Neodiprion lecontei: one gene and its partners. The protein of the gene in region 4 binds, or shares a complex with, the protein of the main gene of each other region. Links are inferred from orthologs where the notes say so. Each region holds a gene or a part of one and is shown on either strand. Other genes may lie near its edges. The genes, in order: spliceosome-associated protein CWC27 homolog, splicing factor 3B subunit 5, pre-mRNA-splicing factor CWC22 homolog and cysteine-rich PDZ-binding protein.

Region 1 (5,495 bases), on a different chromosome or scaffold from region 4:
GTGTAAAAGAGCTCGAGCTTTAAGCGTGGACACTGATGTGGATCACCCAGAACTTCAATCAAGTCTTCTATGGTCATTATCATGCGATTCAGGATTTCTTGGACAAACAGTCTTGTAGCGCAGCGTAAGAATTGCGTCAAAGTTTTCACTATGCAGGATAGATCAAGATACTTTGGTCTTTTTAATAGTTTTGCTACTTCGTCGTAATAACGCCGCATTATCAGAAGCCCACTGTTCCGAAGATCTTTGGCAACGGCACCCTTCAGCTTGTGTAACTCCAGTAGTCCCAAGCTGTGATAGCGAGAAAATTCTAGGAACTTGTCCGGAAGTCCAGAGTATGCCTTGGCTTTGATCACCCTAATCAATTTGTGGGATAAAAAATACTGTCCTCTGATAAAGTAACGATTTTTCAAAAACGTTTCATAATTTTTTGTCCGGCCTTCGTGAGCAAAGGGAGTCCCGATTGGTGAGAGATCAGGATTTTTTTTCCTTAGACTTGGATGCAGTACCATTTTAATTCCAAATCCATGCATTTCTTCGAGATATTTCTGTCTCGTCTCGTGGATTATTTGTTCCACAATGTGTGGGTATTTGAATCTGATACTTTCGGGGATTAGTCGCAGAATGTTTTCTTCCCACTCTATCGGATGTTCAACTGTAGGTATAGAATTGCCATAAAATTTTGCAATCTGGATGTAAAACGATTCTGGTAACTGGAGGCGTTGGTAACGTGTCTCAATACTATTATTACCCACATCCCTCATCAATAATTCTTTGGCACGCAAATTATCGGCAGAGCTTGCAATTAACTCAACTACTTCACGCGTTCGCTCTTTCTGCGTACTAAATTTAAGTAATGGATTTTTTTCGTAGTCCTTACTTGTAAACTGATTCAAATTTGGTATCGGAGGTCTTCGCGGCACCTTTGTCTTGCCGTAGACGAGATTATAAAACTCTTGTTTTTCCATGTCAAATTATTTTTCTTGTATTTAGTAATTTTAGTCAATTTAATGTAAGTCTATAAGTTTATTTTCAGTCTTTTATTACATCATCCATGCAAGTCTAGAAAAAACGATATATCGTGCAAAAAACAGTGGGACGAACTTTGAATTACTTCGCTATATGTTAGTTTAATTAATTTTACCTTACACGCGCGTATATAATTACGAACACAACTTAAGTATATTCGTTTTGTTATTACTATATGTACTATAATTTTTAATGGAAAAATATGTGTGCGGTGATAAGAATTACTTGTAAACCACGACAGCGAACTGATGTTTGGTCAATAATACCTATATGTTCTTCTTTGTCTTGCAGTGTTACGTCAGTAGTTACTACGGTAAATAAGTATACCTTGTAATTGGTTGAGTTATCGTAACTATTATCGAGCATGATTAAAAAAAAACAACACGTTTCTTGAGCATTTATGCATTAATATGGCAGATTTACGAGTCTGTTATGCTACAGGAGACCCGAAAATCAATCTCTGGAGAAGTTGGTGGTCTTAAATTCTGTTCATAAAACCATTTGACGCAATAGTCAAATTAAATGAATTGATTTGAAATCACAGCTTCCAGCATGGCGTATTTTTGATGCCCAAGCTGTTAATGAACAGTAAACAATTTCTACGTACGGTTTGTGTGCCTAGAGTTTCAAACTTGAATGAAGGATTCTTTTGTACCGACGTATCAAGTGAGGTGTGCTAAGGGGCTAATTTTGTTTAAGAGTCTAAGACTTACCAACGGATGGAAGTATAGACAATTTAGTCCTCGACCAATGAATGAGCTCGATGAGTCCATCTGTTCCTGTATGGAAATATGAAAAGTCTATAAACTACTAGACACTAAAGTTTTCAAATATTTTTGCATATGTTGAAGATATTTGACCACTATGAGTAACATATACATACAAGAGCCGCCTACAACAGGGAAGGTATGAATCCAAATAACTTTACGAGTCTGCGACAAGAATACTGAAATATAATCTGCGCGGAACAACTTAACCTCCAATTCGTACGGATTTACTGTTAAGATTGTCGCCGAGAATAAGGATTAACAATTGTACAAGTCGTTTTAATATGGTTTAAAAGCAACCATCCAGTTTATTCATACGAGTATTTCATACCAGCGGCAGTTTTATAATGCATGAAGTTCGCTTTATCTCATCGTCAACTTTATATCGGCAGTGAATGTTGAGGTCTTGCTTATAGCATATAGGCTGAATCTTAAATTTTTCTAGGTGATACTGCAGACCACTGTTGGCGAAATAGACTTAGAATTATGGACTAAGGAGGCACCAAAAGCTTGTAGAAACTTCATACAGCTTTGTTTGGAAGGTTATTACGATGGCACAATTTTTCATAGAGTTGAAAAAGGTTTTATTATACAAGGTGGCGATCCCACGGGGACTGGGGAGGGTGGCGAGAGTATATACGATGGCCCGTTCAAGGTATGGCACTATTTTAAACGTCGTCTTCAATTGTATCATTATCTATTGAGGTAGAATTAAACTGATCTGTCGTTACTCAATTACTGTTGAGCATTTTCAATGAGAAATAGAAATACGCATACAATATTTATATCGTACTTGCATACAAGTTGAAGAATTTTCTTTATTCATTACAGGATGAGTTTCACAGCAGATTACGTTTTTGTCGGAGAGGCTTGCTTGCAATGGCGAATGCAGGAAAAGATGATAACGGTTCTCAGTTTTTTTTCACACTGGCAGCAACTCCTGAATTGCAAAATAAACACACGATATTTGGTAAAGTTACAGGAGAGACAATTTACAACATGCTCAAACTTGAGGACACATTGGTCGATGAGGTACTGGGAATTTTTTCGTCATATTCCCATATGGAAGTTGAGAATTTTTGGTACGTTTAGTAGTTCGTTTTAAAGTATCCATCTCTCAAGTATAAAATGCAAGAATTGAAAAAAAATTTTCATCTTTAACGTACCAAATGTGACATTCATTTTGACGATTTTCCTAAATTTTTAAAATACGATATTCATTCCAGAACGATCGTCCATTGTATCCGCAAAAAATTGTTAAAACAGAGGTTTTAAATAATCCATTTACCGACATCGAGCCTCGAGTTGAACCCAAACAAGTTGAGGCAGAAAAGCTGCAAAAGAAAGAGAAAAAATCTGGCGTGAAGTACTAATCTTTTTTACACAATTCTAGAAGAAGTTTTTACCTTGTTAACATTGTTAATATTTTTGCCGTGCTGAAACCTTGTAATTGCAGAAATTTCAAACTTCTGTCTTTTGGAGAGGAAGCGGAGGAAGATGAAGAGGAATCTGTTGTTTTGAGCAAACAGTTTAGCACCAAGGGAAAATCAGCTCATGATAATTTGGCCGATCCTAAGCTTAGTTCAGAGCTTGCTATAGACAATGGTGAACCATCTAGTAAAAAGATGAAAGGAGATGAGGATAGTGATTCGGAGAGTGCAACCGAAGAAATATCACTCGATGAGATTGCCAATCTGAGTAAAGAAAAGCAGTAAGCAATGTTTATTTTGCGAATTCATCTACAAACTAATGACTTTTTAACTATCGGACTTTACTCTGCTAGAGCTATGAGAGAAAGGATAAAGAACAAGTTAAAAGACGCTAAAAGTACATCAGATAATAAGAAACCAAAAGATCGGAAGATCGATGAAGTTCAGAACATCGACAATGATGCTGAGCCCGAAGAAGAAGCTTATTACTTGGGCAAAGATCGTGATGAAGAACGAAAGAAAAAAGCGTATGTAATGAAGATGATATATTTTTCCAATTTTGAAGTAGATTGAGATTGGCTGCTGGTACCTCTTTTAACCGTTTAAATTAATTTCATTATTGCTTTTTAGTGAGGAGATACGAAAGGAAATTCGAGACTTGAAACGCGACGTCAGAAGTGAAAAAAAAGCAAAAGAAGAGGAAGCCCAGATACAGGTGGAGAAAGAACAGGAGAAGGAAAAGAAATCTAGCGTTTTAAGGGAGTACATAGAAACCCAGGAGAAGTACAAGGAAGCTAAATCGAAATTGCCAAAAAAAGGTAATTCCTCCTCAGAGAGTATAATTCTAATACAGTGTTTTTACTTTTCTGCATTCTTACAGGCGCATCCCGAGAAAATTTCACTCTGCAGCTATTACAAAAGTTTCGAAGTAAGCTACAAAGCGCTAAGGAACAGGTTGAGGAGTCAACTGAAGTCGCGGAAAAGAAGAAAAAACCAGATAACCAAGACGATGACGGTTTTGACGACGAGAAATGGATGGCGCACACTTTACGGTTCGAGGAAAAAACGCCAGTTTTGGCTAAAGACGCTAGTACAAAGGCCGACGATTGGTTCGAGATTTATGATCCGAGAAATCCGTTGAACAAAAGAAGACGCGGTGAGAAAACACCAAAATTGAAAGACGGTGAACACTCTCGGCATAAATAATAACTATAAAACGCTAACGAACCGTATAGACTTCCAAAAAAGTGTCGTTTTCAAAATTGACAACCAGTTTCCATTGATCTTGATTATAAATTCCAAAACTGTTACAAATCGAATAAGCGTCATCCATTTAATGCAAATCTGATTCAACATTCGCAATTCGACAACCTAAACACAGGATTTGACTACAAATTACAAATGGCATTCGCTAAATGTAATATTTTCTTTATATGTATACATACTTACTGTACAAGCAACTCACAGTGTACATAATTCCGCTACCAGTTCCCGGTAGCGCAAATATTTAGTTTCAATTCAGGTAAAGCGGTGTATTATTAAATTATTCTGGTGGAAATATTTGCATCGCAACATCTATTTGCAATGTTTGCACTTAAAACGGGATGATAATCAAACGATGTAGAAATGATATAGTATACGATCATGTATCGATAACTCTAATCCAATGAATAAATTAATTCTTTTTTCTAGAGGTACATTTCATGTCGGATACTACACTTGTTTCACCCCTTGCACGTTTTATTTGCCTAATCAGTGTTGCGATGTGTGGCGATTAGCATGTCAACGACGGCCATGTTCACTGTCAAATATTTCTAAATAATTTCTTCACAACCAGTTCGTAGACGTACCTTTTTTATTCTACTGGCAAATAAACATTCGTTCGGTAGTTAGGCCAGTAGTTCGACTGGTCAAGAGTCAATTCAAGATTATATGCGGCACTGATAGACTGTTGTGACGTTGTATGAATGTTAATGAAAGAATGTAAACACGCCGAAATGATGAAAAACACAGCGTGGGAAACGCCGCACGCGTAAGATAAGAAAAGATCACATAATTCTGCAATGACTTGACGGTTCAGGATTATACGTGCAATCGTAAAAGAGATTTGAAATGTATGAGAGTAAATCGAGAATAAGCGGGTTGGTGAAATTTTTAATTTTGTTATTCTTGTTGTTATTACCCGTTACTATTGTTATTTTTATTATTATTATTGCTATCTTTTAAATAGCCGATGATATTGCCATGTAGTTATAGTATTTGGATCTGG
Region 2 (3,311 bases), on a different chromosome or scaffold from region 4:
CCAATGGGAACATACTGAAGCTGGGGTAGAATTCCAGGATCAGCGGAAGCAGGCGTCATTGGTGTCATCGGGCCTGGAGTTGACGGTCCGATTGAAGGGGGAGCTATTTGACTTGCTGGTTGAACCATAGGCGACATCATATTTTGCTATGAAAAAATAATAGCAAAACATCATCCTTAAGTGGTTAAGAACTTTTATAACATTAGTTGGTGAAAAAGCGAGTGAAATAATAGATAGTGTTTACCGGTGTTTGTGGCTGCATAAGACTTTGCGGCGTTGCGAATGCCGGAGCATAAGTGTGCATAGTTTTGTGCGGTGTACCCAACATTGGCATTCCGTGTACGTTTGAACCCATCGGATGCATTTGCTGTAGTTGATTTTGTTGGACTTGTTGTTGTTGTTGTAGCGCATTCGGCAATATTTGTTGATCCTCTTCAGGTTGATGTAACGGTGTGCCGATACTCGGGATGCTGAATCCCGGACTCGGGAGCATTTGATCCATCGTGGATGTTTATGTAAATTTCAATTTAATACAAATTTTATAATTTGCCACTATGTGCAATCTTGATAATCGAGTGAACTTGGTAACTAAGGCCAGTTAGCACATTACTTTGATGACCAAGTAATGTTGATTTGCGAAAGTGCAGTGTCGTTACCCTGTTATATTGATAATCTAATACTTCGCCGACACATTCATACAAAATCACATACTTAAATTTAATATCACAAATTCATTCTTCTAATATATGAGCTATTCCGAAGTTAGGGAGATCCTGTACTCATTTTTCAACAGACACCATTTTCGGTTAAGGTATCAACAATAATTCTGTACAAGAGGATGGGTTAGGTTAGCTCAGGATAGGTTAGATTGGCGGCGGGGGAGGGGGGGGGGGGGGAGGGGGGCACGGTGTAAGAATAAGAGGTGGTCCAACTGGCCCTCGGTTACTGTGATTATTTTGTCTTAGTACGACGGAAATCCGCCAGGGGCCTTATGCGTCTGTGAGGATGAGTAAGATAAGGGCCGTGTTCGAAAATTGACTGACAGTACTGTCAGCAATCTTTCATCTCTTTTGCGCTTCCCAGTTCGTGAATAGCTCTGACTCTGTCCTAGGGAATTTTGAGTACTGTTAGTCAATTTACGAACACGGCCAAGATCTTAACGTCACCAGCTAACCTACAGCGGTGGTGGACATTGTGAGAATGATGATCATTTTCCTTTTTTTTTCAGGTCGCAAATAGAGCCAAACACCAGCCCCCTGACACTCGCCACTGCTCGTATACTAAAAAATTGTATGCGTTTTGTCCCCGTTTTTTAGTTCCCCTACGTGGCGCTAGTAAACTTCTGACACCCTCGCTGCCTTCGTAGACCGCGCGCACGCTTTTCAGACAACTACTAGCGCCACTAGTGGTGGAGATTGGCGGCAGAATCGAGGGACATTTTGCGAACCACTTTTAGCAGCGTGTGTCAGGGAACTGACCAAACACCCAACACAAGACGGACAAAACTTGTCTTCAGTAATTGTACACATTAGGGTTATTTTCTGTACTACTAGCGTTGCTAGTGTAGTTTTTCTACCGAAGTGGCATTGGTTGCAGGTATGCCAAAGATCAATCCGGAGTGAGAGAGATAGGTTGAATGCGGTCAGCTTGACCACTATCTGTGCATCATCAGTTTTAAGCATAGACTTATAAAGATAGACTGAGCGGTCTTATGAGCCGCTTGAAGCAAACATTTAAAGGACAGAAATATGCCGGGAGACTCCCTTCTCTCTCTGACGATATTTGGGGCTGGGATCGAGGCGATAGAGGAGAATGAGGCGAAATTATGCGCCTATATCTACAGCTGTTCCACTTCCACTGCTCCGTTGTCTTCCACCATGACGCCAATTGAAAAGTGAGAGCAGTAGTCCTGATATATCTCTGTCCCTTATATGTGATTGTCAGTGCCTCTTCTAGGAGCGCTTAGTCTATCTTTATAAGTCTATGGTTTCAAGACGAAGCGTGATTTGTAACGTTCGACAATATCTGTCTAGTTTTGTGTCAAAACTGATAAAAATACGGACTCGGCATCTGGACCTGCATACATACATCAACAAAACTTTTGTGAAAACCAAGTAGTTAATCTTGTACATACATTAGAAAACTGATCTCGTTAATCATTTATAAGAGAGACCAAGAAGTGTACTAGAAACTTATCAAGAGCGTTGTCAAAAGTAAGTAGAAAAGTATATCAAGTGAAATTTTTCACTATTTTAGTAATTGTTAATATTGTGAAGTATAACTGACATTACATATTGCAAGAGTACATTCGGCCATACGACAGACGGTGATAAATGAATTTATGGAATATTGCGTCCCATTAATAGCGCTAACCTATAATTTCGAGGTTATGTATCACGCATTTTGTTATTGTTCAATTTAGGAATGGGGGAACGTTACAATATCCATAGTCAGCTGGAACATCTTCAATCCAAGTACATTGGGACAGGTCATGCAGACACAACGAAATTTGAATGGTTGGTTAATCAGCACAGAGATTCATGTAGCTCTTACATGGGGCATTACGACCTTCTAAATTTTTTTGCGCTAGCTGAAAACGAAGCCAAGGCACGCGTCAGATTTAATCTGATGGAGAAAATGCTGCAGCCTTGTGGCCCACCTCCAGAAAAACCAGAAGATTAATCCTATCTATAAAAAATAAGCTGCGAACTGATTTTTTCTGTTACTCTAAAAATATAAATAAACCAATTCTTATCAACTCAAATGAATGTATAAATTTTTATGTACATCATGCTCTCCTTGTCAAACTAATCAATGGAAAATTTCAAGGTTCATTCATTTCTAATCATGTTTTTATTTAATTTTTTTCCTGTTCCTTTCGCTTTAAAGCTCTGAGGACAGTTTTGACTAAACATTGCTGAACAACTGGACATATATTCTTATTAGCTACAGTGAGGGTTTCGATAGCTTGTTTTATGCAATCTATGTTAATGCTTCCAACGAGAAAAAACTCTGAAATCTGGTCATGTTGCGGTAAAGCAGCTTGCATGATCAGTCCATGGTTATTGGGTGGGTTTGGCTTTGCTGGTGCAGAATTACAAAGTACCTCTTCCTCCACTGTCAGATCCAAAAACATTGTATCTTTATAGAACCCCTGAAAATGAGAAGTTCGTTAACAGTTTAAGGAACATAAATATCTCAACAGCTGTTATTTTTATTACAGTTTTCCGTCTATCTGCACTTCTGTAACACTATAATTGAAATTTTCAAGAGACTCATATCCATGTGAAGAATGCAGTTTGACAATAGTT
Region 3 (6,696 bases), on a different chromosome or scaffold from region 4:
GAAACTATCTCTAGTATTCATACTACTTCTGATAAAAACTACTTGAGAAGTATACGAATGATAAATCTATTGGCCATAATTAATAGTTCTTTGTTTGCCAAAGCGAATTCATCAAACTGGTACTAGTAGCCAAAGCTAGCAATTCCATGACACAAAGTTATACCAGCATCGAATGGTTTAGCTGCTGACTTTGGCTGTTAGTTTCAGCATCGTTAATGTAATATATATTCATTACTCACATTAAGCACAGATTTTTGAAACAATTTTTGAGCCAAAAAACATTGTAACAAGTTATTGTAAAAGCGAGCCCCACAGCTTAATTTTAGTTCTCAATGCTTAATTCTTGAATTTAACAATAGATGGAAATGAAGATAAGAATTGGGCGTACATAATATATACGTAATTATATGCTATGAATATTGTATATGTGTAAAACATGTATCATGTTCAGTGAAAGTTATTCCTAAAGGGTCTCAGATACGAGTTAAAATTGAAGTAATTGTGAGAATAGGAGTAATGATGCGTCAATCCATAATTTCGAATCAGTTCATTTGCAAGCCTATGTAGGATGAATGAATTATAAATGAATCAAACGAGTTTAATATCGATTTGTTGATAACAGCAAAATGGTCGTTTCGGTGAGTTTCAGGAACGACGCCATATCGCCTCATGCTGATACTACTTGATGCGGCAACGCGGACAAAAAAAAAAGAAACGGAAACAACCATACGAGATCTTTCACCGATGACTAAAATATCCGAAACATTGCGATTTTGTCTATTTCGTTTTGTTCATAATTAACGTGAAACTCACCTGATGATGAAATATCACTGTACCGGTAGATCAACACTGCGATTAAACCACGTACGCTAACGAGCCACCATTTTCATTGGTAGCGAACACATCCACTTGGTCCTCACACATATATACCTCACGTGCAGGCTCCAGTCGGCTGACTACTCGCGTCAAGCCGTGTGTCGGCCCATTTTGTTCACTTTGCAACTGCTAAATAAGGTGCGTTCCGAAACTAGCTGCAGCGTCAAAACTCCCTAGGACAGAGACAGAGCCGCCCACGAACTTGGCAGCACAAAAGAGATAAAAGATGGCTGACAACACTGGGAGCTAATTTCGGAACGCATCCGTTAATAGGTTTGTTCGTGCTAGCTACACTTTCTACACTTTCGTGGGGAGTGTACACTTGCGCGTTCGTTTTAGCGAACGTGACGTCGATGGCGCTGTTCGTTTTACAAATGTCACTAGACTTTCGTTACACTTTGGCCATGTTCGTAAATTGACTGCCAGTACTAAAAATTCTCTAGGACAGAGACAGAGCTATCCATGAACTCGGCAGCGCAAAAGAGATAAAAAATTGCTGATAGTACTGTCAGTCAATTTTCGAACACGGCCTTTGTGTACACTTTTTACACTCGGTCTAGACCAAGTGTAAAAGGTGTAAAAAGTGTAAATGGTTCAATTCGCATGAATGCTACAGGTTTTTCCACCACGTTAGTGAACTGTGATGCGATATATACCCTAAAACTCACGAGTGACAACAAACCCATAACCTCACTCCAAATCAGAACAAAGCAGTACAGTATTTTACTTCAAAAACAAGGTTCAATTTGATAACAGTGTACTTAAAACATAAGGTATGAAAGATTTCGTTAACAAATTCCAAAAATGCTTTATCTTATTTACTAATTTGTTGTATTAATAAGTGTTTCGAGGAAAAAAACGACTGTACGTAACGTGCGCCATTTTCTTGTCCCCACTTCTCTGCACCTTCTACACTATTGCGTTCGCGCTATTTTAGCTACACTCGAGAAGCGAACGTACACTCCCCAGCAATCCCTAGTACACTACCCTAGTTCTTTTTACACTTGTGAGTGTAGAGTGTAGCTAGCACGAACAAACCTAGTGTGTATAACTTGGATCAATTATGATCTGTGGTCTTGCTGCAGTAAACGTATTTGTCGCGTGGTATACATGGTTTTACCCCGTTCATTGGCATACGAGTTTATCGTAATACCGGCGCGGCTGGATCGACTAGAGCACGACTAGAGTGGTTCGAAACTACGCGCACAGCGCTCCGACCTGACATTTTGTACTACAAGTTTTTTGGGGTTAATGGTTCCATGTGTCTTGTGGCAATAATGAGCCTTGTGGTCCGAACTTACATATTTTTATTGATTTGAGTGCACTATAAACAGCAATTTTTTTTTTTAAATACAGAGAAATAAAATTCGCGCTGCTTAATGTCATAAATTTTTCAATCAATATTCTTATTCATAGTAATTATTGATGTGATAATTGGTAATAATTCATTATGTCTGAGAACACAATGAAAGCCAAACCTGACAAGAGGTGTTCGCCATCGATAAACAGTGACGATGAAACTGAACACGATAAACGTTCGAGGAGAAGTAAACGTAAGAACGATGGTTCAGACTATGAAGATAAGAGTGATCGTCACAGTAGGCGAAAGGAGAGAAGTGATTCTAAATACTACAGGAGCAACAACAGTAGCAGAAATGGCAGAGATAGAGACAGGAGACGACATAGGAATGACAAGGAACGAACTCGTCGAAGTGAAGACGACAGGCAAACAGCCACAGATGAGAATGATAGATCGTATCGAAAGGGTCATGACTCGAATGACAATGGTTCACTACGTAGATATTGGAGCGATCAGTACTGGAACAAGTATCCGACCAATAAACAAGAAAGAATAGGACAGCGTTTTTATGGCGGTCGTCACGAGGAGAGGAATGAATCACCCAAACGTCGCTACGACGATAAAGAAAATGATGAGGATGTCGCGTGTGCTGAAAAGAATCAGATCACGGTGGAAAATGAACGAGAAAAAATTACACCAGCGCAAAAGCGAACGGTGGATCTTCTGACATCGAAAACTGGTGGTGCTTACATTCCACCAGCCAAACTCCGCATGATGCAGGCTGAGATCACTGACAAATCGGGAGCTGCATACCAGCGGATATCTTGGGAAGCCTTGAAAAAGTCCATTCATGGATACATTAATAAAGTCAACACCAGCAATATCGGATTAATCACTAGAGAATTGTTACACGAGAACATTGTCAGAGGTCGAGGCCTGTTGGCGAGATCTATTATTCAGGCTCAAGCTGCCTCCCCTACTTTCACACCTATCTATGCAGCACTTACTGCTGTGATCAATTCAAAAGTACATGATTTATATTATTGATGTTGGTTTCCTTTTTTTAATATTATTCTGAAATGCTCACATCATTTCTTTTTCAGTTCCCTAATATTGGTGAATTGTTGCTCAAGCGTCTAGTCATACAGTTCAAGCGTGGATTTCGCCGTAATGATAAAGCTCAGTGCATTTCTTCGGCCACGTTTGTTGCCCATTTGGTCAACCAGCGTGTTGCCCATGAAATCTTAGCTTTGGAAATACTAACTTTACTAGTAGAGACGCCAACTGATGACTCCGTCGAAGTTGCCATCGCATTTTTGAAAGAATGTGGCATGAAACTCACAGAGGTTTCCAAGAAAGGGATCGAGGCAATATTTGAAATGCTTCGCAACATCTTACATGAAGGACAGCTGGATAAAAGAGTAGGTAGAAACACCTGAAATCATAAAACGTTGACATTAGTTTGGTTTCAATATTTTATGATCTATTAAGGATGTTCCATTTTACTTTAATTATGCTGCATAGTTTCTTAATTAAATTTCACCACTGACTTGAACATATTTCAGGTACAATATATGATAGAAGTTATATTCCAAATTAGAAAAGACGGATTTAAAGATCACGAGGCTGTGAATGAAGAGCTTGACCTTGTTGAAGAGGATAACCAGTTTACTCACCTTGTGACTTTGGACGAAGCAACTGACCCTCAAGATGTACTGAGTAAGACTTGCACAAATATACGGCTTGCATTGACTTCATAATTGTCGGCATAGCTATAACATGACATTTCAAAATGTGGCATCTATCAATTTTTTTTTCTCATAGACGTTTTCAAGTTCGATCCGGACTACATTGCAACAGAGGAAAAATATAAAGCATTGAGCAAAGAGATTCTTGATACTGACAGTAGCGGTTCAGATGGTTCTGATGGTGATGAAGAAGATAACTCCTCTGACGAGGAAGATAGTAATATCACAGGTAACTTGATTTTCAGATACATGTATTTGTGATGGAATTTGTAATTGTGGAGATGAAGGCGTAATTCCTTCCAAAATATAATATCAGTGACTATTTCCTACCTTATTAAAAGTCCCTCAAATTCTGTAATATTTGATATAATAAAGTAAAACGGATTCTTTCAGGAGAAGCAAAGGAAGATGTTATAGTCGACAACACTGAAACTAATTTAACAGCGTTGCGCAGAACGATTTATTTAACTATTCATTCTTCTCTCGACTTTGAGGAATGTGCGCACAAATTGATGAAGATGCAGCTGAAGCCTGGGCAAGAAATTGAACTATGTCACATGTTCCTGGACTGTTGCGCAGAGATGAGGACATATGAGAAATTCTTTGGTCTCTTAGCTGGGGTAAGTGCTTCTTAGCGGTTGCTCAATGTTTTGTGAAACATCTGTATTTTGATTGAATGACTTGCTTTTTCAGCGATTTTGCGCGATTAACAAAATCTACGTGACGCCGTTTGAACAAATTTTCATCGATTCGTACGATACAATACATCGTTTGGACACCAACAAACTACGTAACGTGTCCAAATTCTTTGCTCATTTGTTGTTCACTGATTCCATTTCTTGGGAGGTTCTATCTTGCATAAAATTAAATGAAGAAGATACTACCAGCTCTAGTCGTATCTTCATAAAAATTTTATTCCAAGAATTATCCGAGTATATGGGACTTTCAAAATTAAATCAGCGTGTGAAAGATGTGTAAGTAATGTCTTTATTAGATATTGATGTGTTGTACTTCTTCTATTTGAAACTGTTTTTTTGATTCAAAGGACTTTGCAAGGAGCCTTCGAGGGTTTATTTCCACGAGATGATCCAAAGAATACAAGATTTGCTATCAATTTTTTCACTTCCATTGGTCTGGGTGGTCTTACGTAAGTTATATTCATTTTTACTAATTGAAATTCCAACAATATTTTTCTATATGAATGCTGTAATTTCAGGGATGAATTACGAGAACACTTGAAATCGCGTCCGAAGCCAGCTGTAGTGCCAGAATTTGTTGAAGACAAAAAAGAGTCGTCTAGTTCCAGCAGTTCATCTTCATCTAGTTCCGAATCCTCGTCGAGTTCATCGTCGTCGTCATCATCATCCGAGACTGCAAGTACGAAATTTTTCATATTTCTAAATAATGATTACAATCGCAAAAATTGCGAATATGTATATTTTTAAAATTTTCCAACTTAAAATTGATTATTTGGGGGATTAGAATTTCATGCCAAAGTCGGTACCTGAAACTGCTAATTTTTTTTTCTGGAAAAACCAGTGGACCACTCGTTTTTTAGTAATTTACAAGTCAGGTAAAGAAATGAAATTTTTTTGTCATTTTTCGTAACTCTTCACTCTTGCTGTAAAAAAGGAAAGAAAAAAAATCTATATTTCCTAGGTTCTTCTGAATCTGACGACCATCGGAAAAAGAAATCTGCGAAAGAAAAAACCCAAAAAAAGAAGAAGAAAAACAAAACGCGAGTGACAAAAAAGAAACTAAAAAACAAATCAATCGTGAAAGATGTTTGGGATATAGAAACTGATAGAAACTGTATTAGCAGCACTCACGAGACAAATGAAGGGCGCAGGAATAGCGATAAAACGCCTAATGATAGATTGAGTCAATCAAAACGATCAACCAAACCAAATCGGCATGGAGAATGGGACAGGGAAAGTGACGATCGGACAAACACGCACAAGGACAAAAATAATAGGCATAGAAGGCATAAGGATTAGTGAATAATGACAGTAATTTTTATAATGTAACAAATAATGAATCACAATATCTCGTTGGCTGTATATTTCGCCTCTAACGCATCAACATACTGGGAATTTATTTGAACAGATATTCTCTATTATGAATAAAAAAAAAAATACCTTGACACTCCTGTTATTTAGTCGATTTCATGGGGTTAATAAACTTTGAATGAATTCAGTTGAATTCAATAAAGGTTAACCCCTCCGGAAATGATCACGTTTCAACTTCTGATTTGTCTCCAAAATCCCAAAATGCAAAAGTTTTAATACGCCTCAGGTGTATGGCACACTGAACGACCAAGAGGAGCATGAGTCCTGTTGATAAAGTCTGCTTGGAGGTTACTAACGATTGATGCAACATCTTGCTTGAACCACCTCATCGACTGCTTAACTTGACTACCCTCTTTATCGATTCTATTTTTCTTGCCATACTTGTAATTTTTATTGAATGGCTCAACATATCTGTCGTAAATAACAATTACATGTAAATCATTTAAAGCAAGGAAATCATAAACATATTCCATCTATTTAAAATATCAGTAACGCTATTTTTTGTGGCAATAAAATTCCAACAGAATGCTCACTTTCGATTGATTTGTTCAGAAACATCATAATTATTGTGACTTTTCCTGTAAAGTCGATGGCCAATGCGAGAAGCTAAAATAACTTCAGTCACAGTTTTTCGAGGATTTACCAATTCTGCTGCTGTACCATCTAAAATATTGTGACGCAAATGACTAAATTTTTTTTATTC
Region 4 (3,553 bases):
AAATTTTTTCGCTTGCGCATTTTCGTTTTTCTTTTGAAAAACTTCATGGTGCCACAGAGAGGTTGTTTTCCAAGAACGCAAATTTGCATAATTTCTTTCAAGAGATTATAAAATGACCAGCTTAGACATTATTTAAATAACACAATTTAATAATGTGTAAGATTGGTTATCAGTTCAGTAAATTTACATGGGTATCTTTCACAAGACTTGATGGTTTTTAACTTGACACAAGCCCGATTCAGTTTCTTTTGTAAAATTTGTTCGTCGCATTGCATTATAGCGAATGAGAAATTTTTACGAGACTAAAATAATATCGGCTAATATGGAAAATATTTTCGTACACTTTTTGGAAAGTTAAAAACCATAATTATTTCAGTAATCTCCAGTTATGTAAGCGACGATAAATACACGTGAAAAAAAAAATTTGTTAGTATGGGTGTGTAAATTCTTTTACTGTGAAAATAAAACTACATAAGGATATGACGATTTTATAAGCGTGAATAACGGAATGAAAAAAAAGACAGATGAATTGTTATGATATTATACAATATTGCATATTTTATTTAATTTTATACAAACATCATGATTTATTATTATTATTATTATCATTGCTTAGTATGTAACAAATGTTTGTATCACAAAATAAATAAATCTCATTGTTTACAAAAAAAAAAATAAGGAAGACAGCAATAACAATTGCAGCGTTAATGCACCAAATATTATACATAATTCATAATCCTTCTTACACCTCCAAGTTTTCAATAACCGATCATCTATGGTGCGGTATTATAAAATCTGCCACCGTCGTGATATAAAGAAAATAAGGTCGTACCTTGAATAAATAAATTACATTTTTGAGGAATCAAAAAACCCTGTATTTTGAATTGCGCACAGATTCTGAATTACCCTGGGACTCTCTGGTTATTCCCTTATACCCCGGCAAAAGTGAAAAGGAGGAAAACAAATCTTTGACTCAAATACAGTAAAGAATAGCTTCATCTTGATGATATTTCTCATGTCTTGTTAATCTTCCGTCACGCACTGCTGCGCACCATCTACGTGGCGGACTGTTTGTAGTTTTTAGTACTCATCAGCTTTTTACCGCACATAGCGCATATGGCCTTTTTGTATGCGCAGGATTGGCAATAATGAGATCCGACCTGGTGAACCTTTTGTCTGCATATTTTGCAGGTTTCGAACTTAGCTGTGTACGGATTAAATCGCGCCTTGCTAGTCGACAGAGCTTTGTTTTCCCCAACTTTCCTTCCTCCACTTTCCACCGTGTTTCTGGCCCCAGATTTCCACGGGTCTGGTGTTATTACGCGACCCAATTTTTTCTCGCACTTCTCGCACACCATGACTCAAAAAGAATCTTGAAATGGAAAAAAATTTTCACATTTGCAGATTTTATGCAGTGAATAAATTGCTAGTTTATGCAGTATTTTATGTCGATTCAAGTGGGACGGTATTTAGCTTTCATAATCAGAAAAAAGATCAGAAACAAGAAAAGAAAAAAGTTTCGGGCAATAATAGAGGATTACTAGTTTATGGTGAAAAAACTGAATTTTTTATGTTGGGTCAGGTAACGCTGGGTCAAGGTTAAGGTTAGGTTATATTTGTGTCGGAATCAAACGAACGCGTCGGCAAGTAGAGGCAGTTTGATTGGTACTTACCGTTACTAAAGCTCTAGAATCGACACAATTTCACTGCAGTACGAATCGTCTGATGGTACGTAGTCCTTGATTTTCAAAAGTTCGTGAACTTGAGAAGGGCAGGTTATGTTAAGATGAAAACAAATAACACCAGTCTTAAGCGTCCTTTTCAGGTTAAAGCTCTGTGAATGCTATTGTTACAATGTTACAACTTGACACGAATTTACACCCTAGGCGCGCTGCTAACGGCCAAACTGGACGTAATTTCGAGTACAGTTGGCAACACTGAAGTCACTATGACCACGCGACTTGAAATTTGTGCGAATTCAAGGGGATTCCTCGATTTTCGCGCGCGTAACTAATTTGAATAAACGTAATATCGACTTATTTAAATTCAATGAAATAATCAGGATTGAATTCTCACTACTGTAAGTGATTCAGCATCTACTACTGAATAACCCGAAGTTCTGTTTATTCAGATTTCGCTCACGTTCTATCGTAATTGTCAAGTCGATCATATATTTGATAACAGGTGAAGTAATGAAATAACGTATTTTAGATTAAAAGTCCCTGAAATAGAAATTCCCGTTTACAAATGTGAGCAATGGGCGTATAGAACACTGGAAGAAGAGCCCCATTATATCATACGCTTATCACCGCTCTGACGTATCTGATTTCCTGATTAGCCGCGAACTGCTAGTCACTATCGATATCGTGCAAATTATCAACAATTGCATACAGGCTGACGAAGACATCGAACAAAATGAGTGCTGGGTATGTAAAAAACCCAAACAAACATTGACAAACCGTATTTACGAAACTGTAGGAATACAATATCGTAATTTGAATAAATTATGTCTTTTTAATCATTTGAATCATGTTTCAAAAAACTGAAATTTAGGAGGGCGTAGCCAGAAAATTTTTGACATCTCACTGTCGAGTGTATTGTCACTCACTAGTGAACAACAAAATATTTTCCATATTTTAATTACGCAAAAGAATTTATATAACAATATGTTTCAGGCCCAGCATCTGTCACATTCTGGATTTTCCCAATGAAATTTTGATGAAAATTATCTTCCATTTGAATGCCAGAGAGCGTGTGCCTTTGGGTAATTCATGCAAAAAATTACACAGTCTTATATTCGAAGAGAAAAAATTATTAAGGTGAATACATAATTCCTATTTTTAATTTACTCTTCATATTTTCATCATTCCATGTAAAAGATTAATATTTCTTATCAAATGAAACAGCTCAGTTGAAGTTAAAAAATTCAATCAACCTAATCATCCTTAATGATTCAGTTGCAAATATTAGAATGGAGCTTACATACGTGATTCAATATATACGTATATCAACGAAAATCCAATTATATCCCACACTAAGCAATATCTGTGATAAGATTTTTCTATCTGTGCATTTCAGGAATTTAGATTTTTCCAAAGACGGGCGCCTGACATCAGTTTCTGACATCCGTCAATATTTTGACAACAGCAAAGCAAGCAGGTACATTCAGAGAGTAAATTTGAGAAATGTAAATTTTATAGAGCCGGAGCAGATGCTTAACGATTACATCGGCAATGCAGTGAACATAGTTGACTTAAACATAAGTGGCACAAGATTTGAAGACGTACAGGGGTTGGGATATTTCCTAAAGTTATTACCACATGTAAAGAGACTCTCTATCGACTGGCCAAGACGAATGGAAGATAACGCTGAACCTTGCTGCAAGGTTCTACGAGGGCCTTTAAGCAAACTCACGTATTTGTCAATACAAATATGGCATCCACCACATACAAAAAAGTTTGTCCAATATTTACAAATGTGTCAAAAACTCAAGGAGCTACGCATGATTGGAAGGAAATCCTGTTATGTTCCTGCAACAGACGACCTTCCGTAC

The links.
Region 1: cysteine-rich PDZ-binding protein (region 4) and spliceosome-associated protein CWC27 homolog share a complex: the UniProt entries of both Homo sapiens proteins name them as parts of the minor spliceosome. The link is inferred for Neodiprion lecontei from reciprocal best matches to the Homo sapiens genes CRIPT and CWC27.
Region 2: cysteine-rich PDZ-binding protein (region 4) and splicing factor 3B subunit 5 share a complex: the UniProt entries of both Homo sapiens proteins name them as parts of the minor spliceosome. The link is inferred for Neodiprion lecontei from reciprocal best matches to the Homo sapiens genes CRIPT and SF3B5.
Region 3: cysteine-rich PDZ-binding protein (region 4) and pre-mRNA-splicing factor CWC22 homolog share a complex: the UniProt entries of both Homo sapiens proteins name them as parts of the minor spliceosome. The link is inferred for Neodiprion lecontei from reciprocal best matches to the Homo sapiens genes CRIPT and CWC22.

What each region holds. Positions count from the first base shown.
Region 1 is NC_060260.1:40,538,957-40,544,451, forward strand, and holds spliceosome-associated protein CWC27 homolog, read left to right. Parts: upstream 1-1,797; 5' UTR 1,798-1,893; coding exon 1,894-1,935; intron 1,936-2,241; coding exon 2,242-2,451; exon of another isoform or gene 2,452-2,493; intron 2,494-2,589; exon of another isoform or gene 2,590-2,627; coding exon 2,628-2,828; intron 2,829-2,962; exon of another isoform or gene 2,963-3,022; coding exon 3,023-3,162; intron 3,163-3,252; coding exon 3,253-3,507; intron 3,508-3,579; coding exon 3,580-3,753; intron 3,754-3,856; coding exon 3,857-4,044; intron 4,045-4,106; coding exon 4,107-4,432; 3' UTR 4,433-4,940; downstream 4,941-5,495. Other genes in the region: dynein axonemal heavy chain 7-like, read right to left, coding at 1-655, 881-968. UniProt on the Homo sapiens protein: As part of the spliceosome, plays a role in pre-mRNA splicing. Probable inactive PPIase with no peptidyl-prolyl cis-trans isomerase activity. As a component of the minor spliceosome, involved in the splicing of U12-type introns in pre-mRNAs.
Region 2 is NC_060261.1:14,537,297-14,540,607, forward strand, and holds splicing factor 3B subunit 5, read left to right. Parts: upstream 1-1,902; 5' UTR 1,903-2,213; intron 2,214-2,422; 5' UTR 2,423-2,424; coding exon 2,425-2,682; 3' UTR 2,683-2,764; downstream 2,765-3,311. Other genes in the region: TATA-box-binding protein, read right to left, coding at 16-146, 245-502; exosome complex component MTR3, read right to left, coding at 2,858-3,154. UniProt on the Homo sapiens protein: Component of the 17S U2 SnRNP complex of the spliceosome, a large ribonucleoprotein complex that removes introns from transcribed pre-mRNAs.
Region 3 is NC_060261.1:13,515,033-13,521,728, forward strand, and holds pre-mRNA-splicing factor CWC22 homolog, read left to right. Parts: upstream 1-1,939; 5' UTR 1,940-2,326; coding exon 2,327-3,202; intron 3,203-3,279; coding exon 3,280-3,597; intron 3,598-3,741; coding exon 3,742-3,895; intron 3,896-4,000; coding exon 4,001-4,153; intron 4,154-4,317; coding exon 4,318-4,544; intron 4,545-4,617; coding exon 4,618-4,898; exon of another isoform or gene 4,899-4,969; coding exon 4,970-5,071; exon of another isoform or gene 5,072-5,140; coding exon 5,141-5,301; intron 5,302-5,428; exon of another isoform or gene 5,429-5,545; intron 5,546-5,583; coding exon 5,584-5,921; 3' UTR 5,922-6,188; downstream 6,189-6,696. Other genes in the region: EF-hand domain-containing family member B-like, read right to left, coding at 6,206-6,404, 6,527-6,656. UniProt on the Homo sapiens protein: Required for pre-mRNA splicing as component of the spliceosome. As a component of the minor spliceosome, involved in the splicing of U12-type introns in pre-mRNAs. Promotes exon-junction complex (EJC) assembly.
Region 4 is NC_060264.1:28,958,007-28,961,559, forward strand, and holds cysteine-rich PDZ-binding protein, read right to left. Parts: upstream 1,860-3,553; 5' UTR 1,674-1,859; exon of another isoform or gene 1,407-1,673; intron 1,373-1,406; 5' UTR 1,359-1,372; coding exon 1,056-1,358; 3' UTR 533-1,055; downstream 1-532. Other genes in the region: uncharacterized protein LOC107218174, read left to right, coding at 2,416-2,426, 2,676-2,819, 3,079-3,553. UniProt on the Homo sapiens protein: As a component of the minor spliceosome, involved in the splicing of U12-type introns in pre-mRNAs. Involved in the cytoskeletal anchoring of DLG4 in excitatory synapses.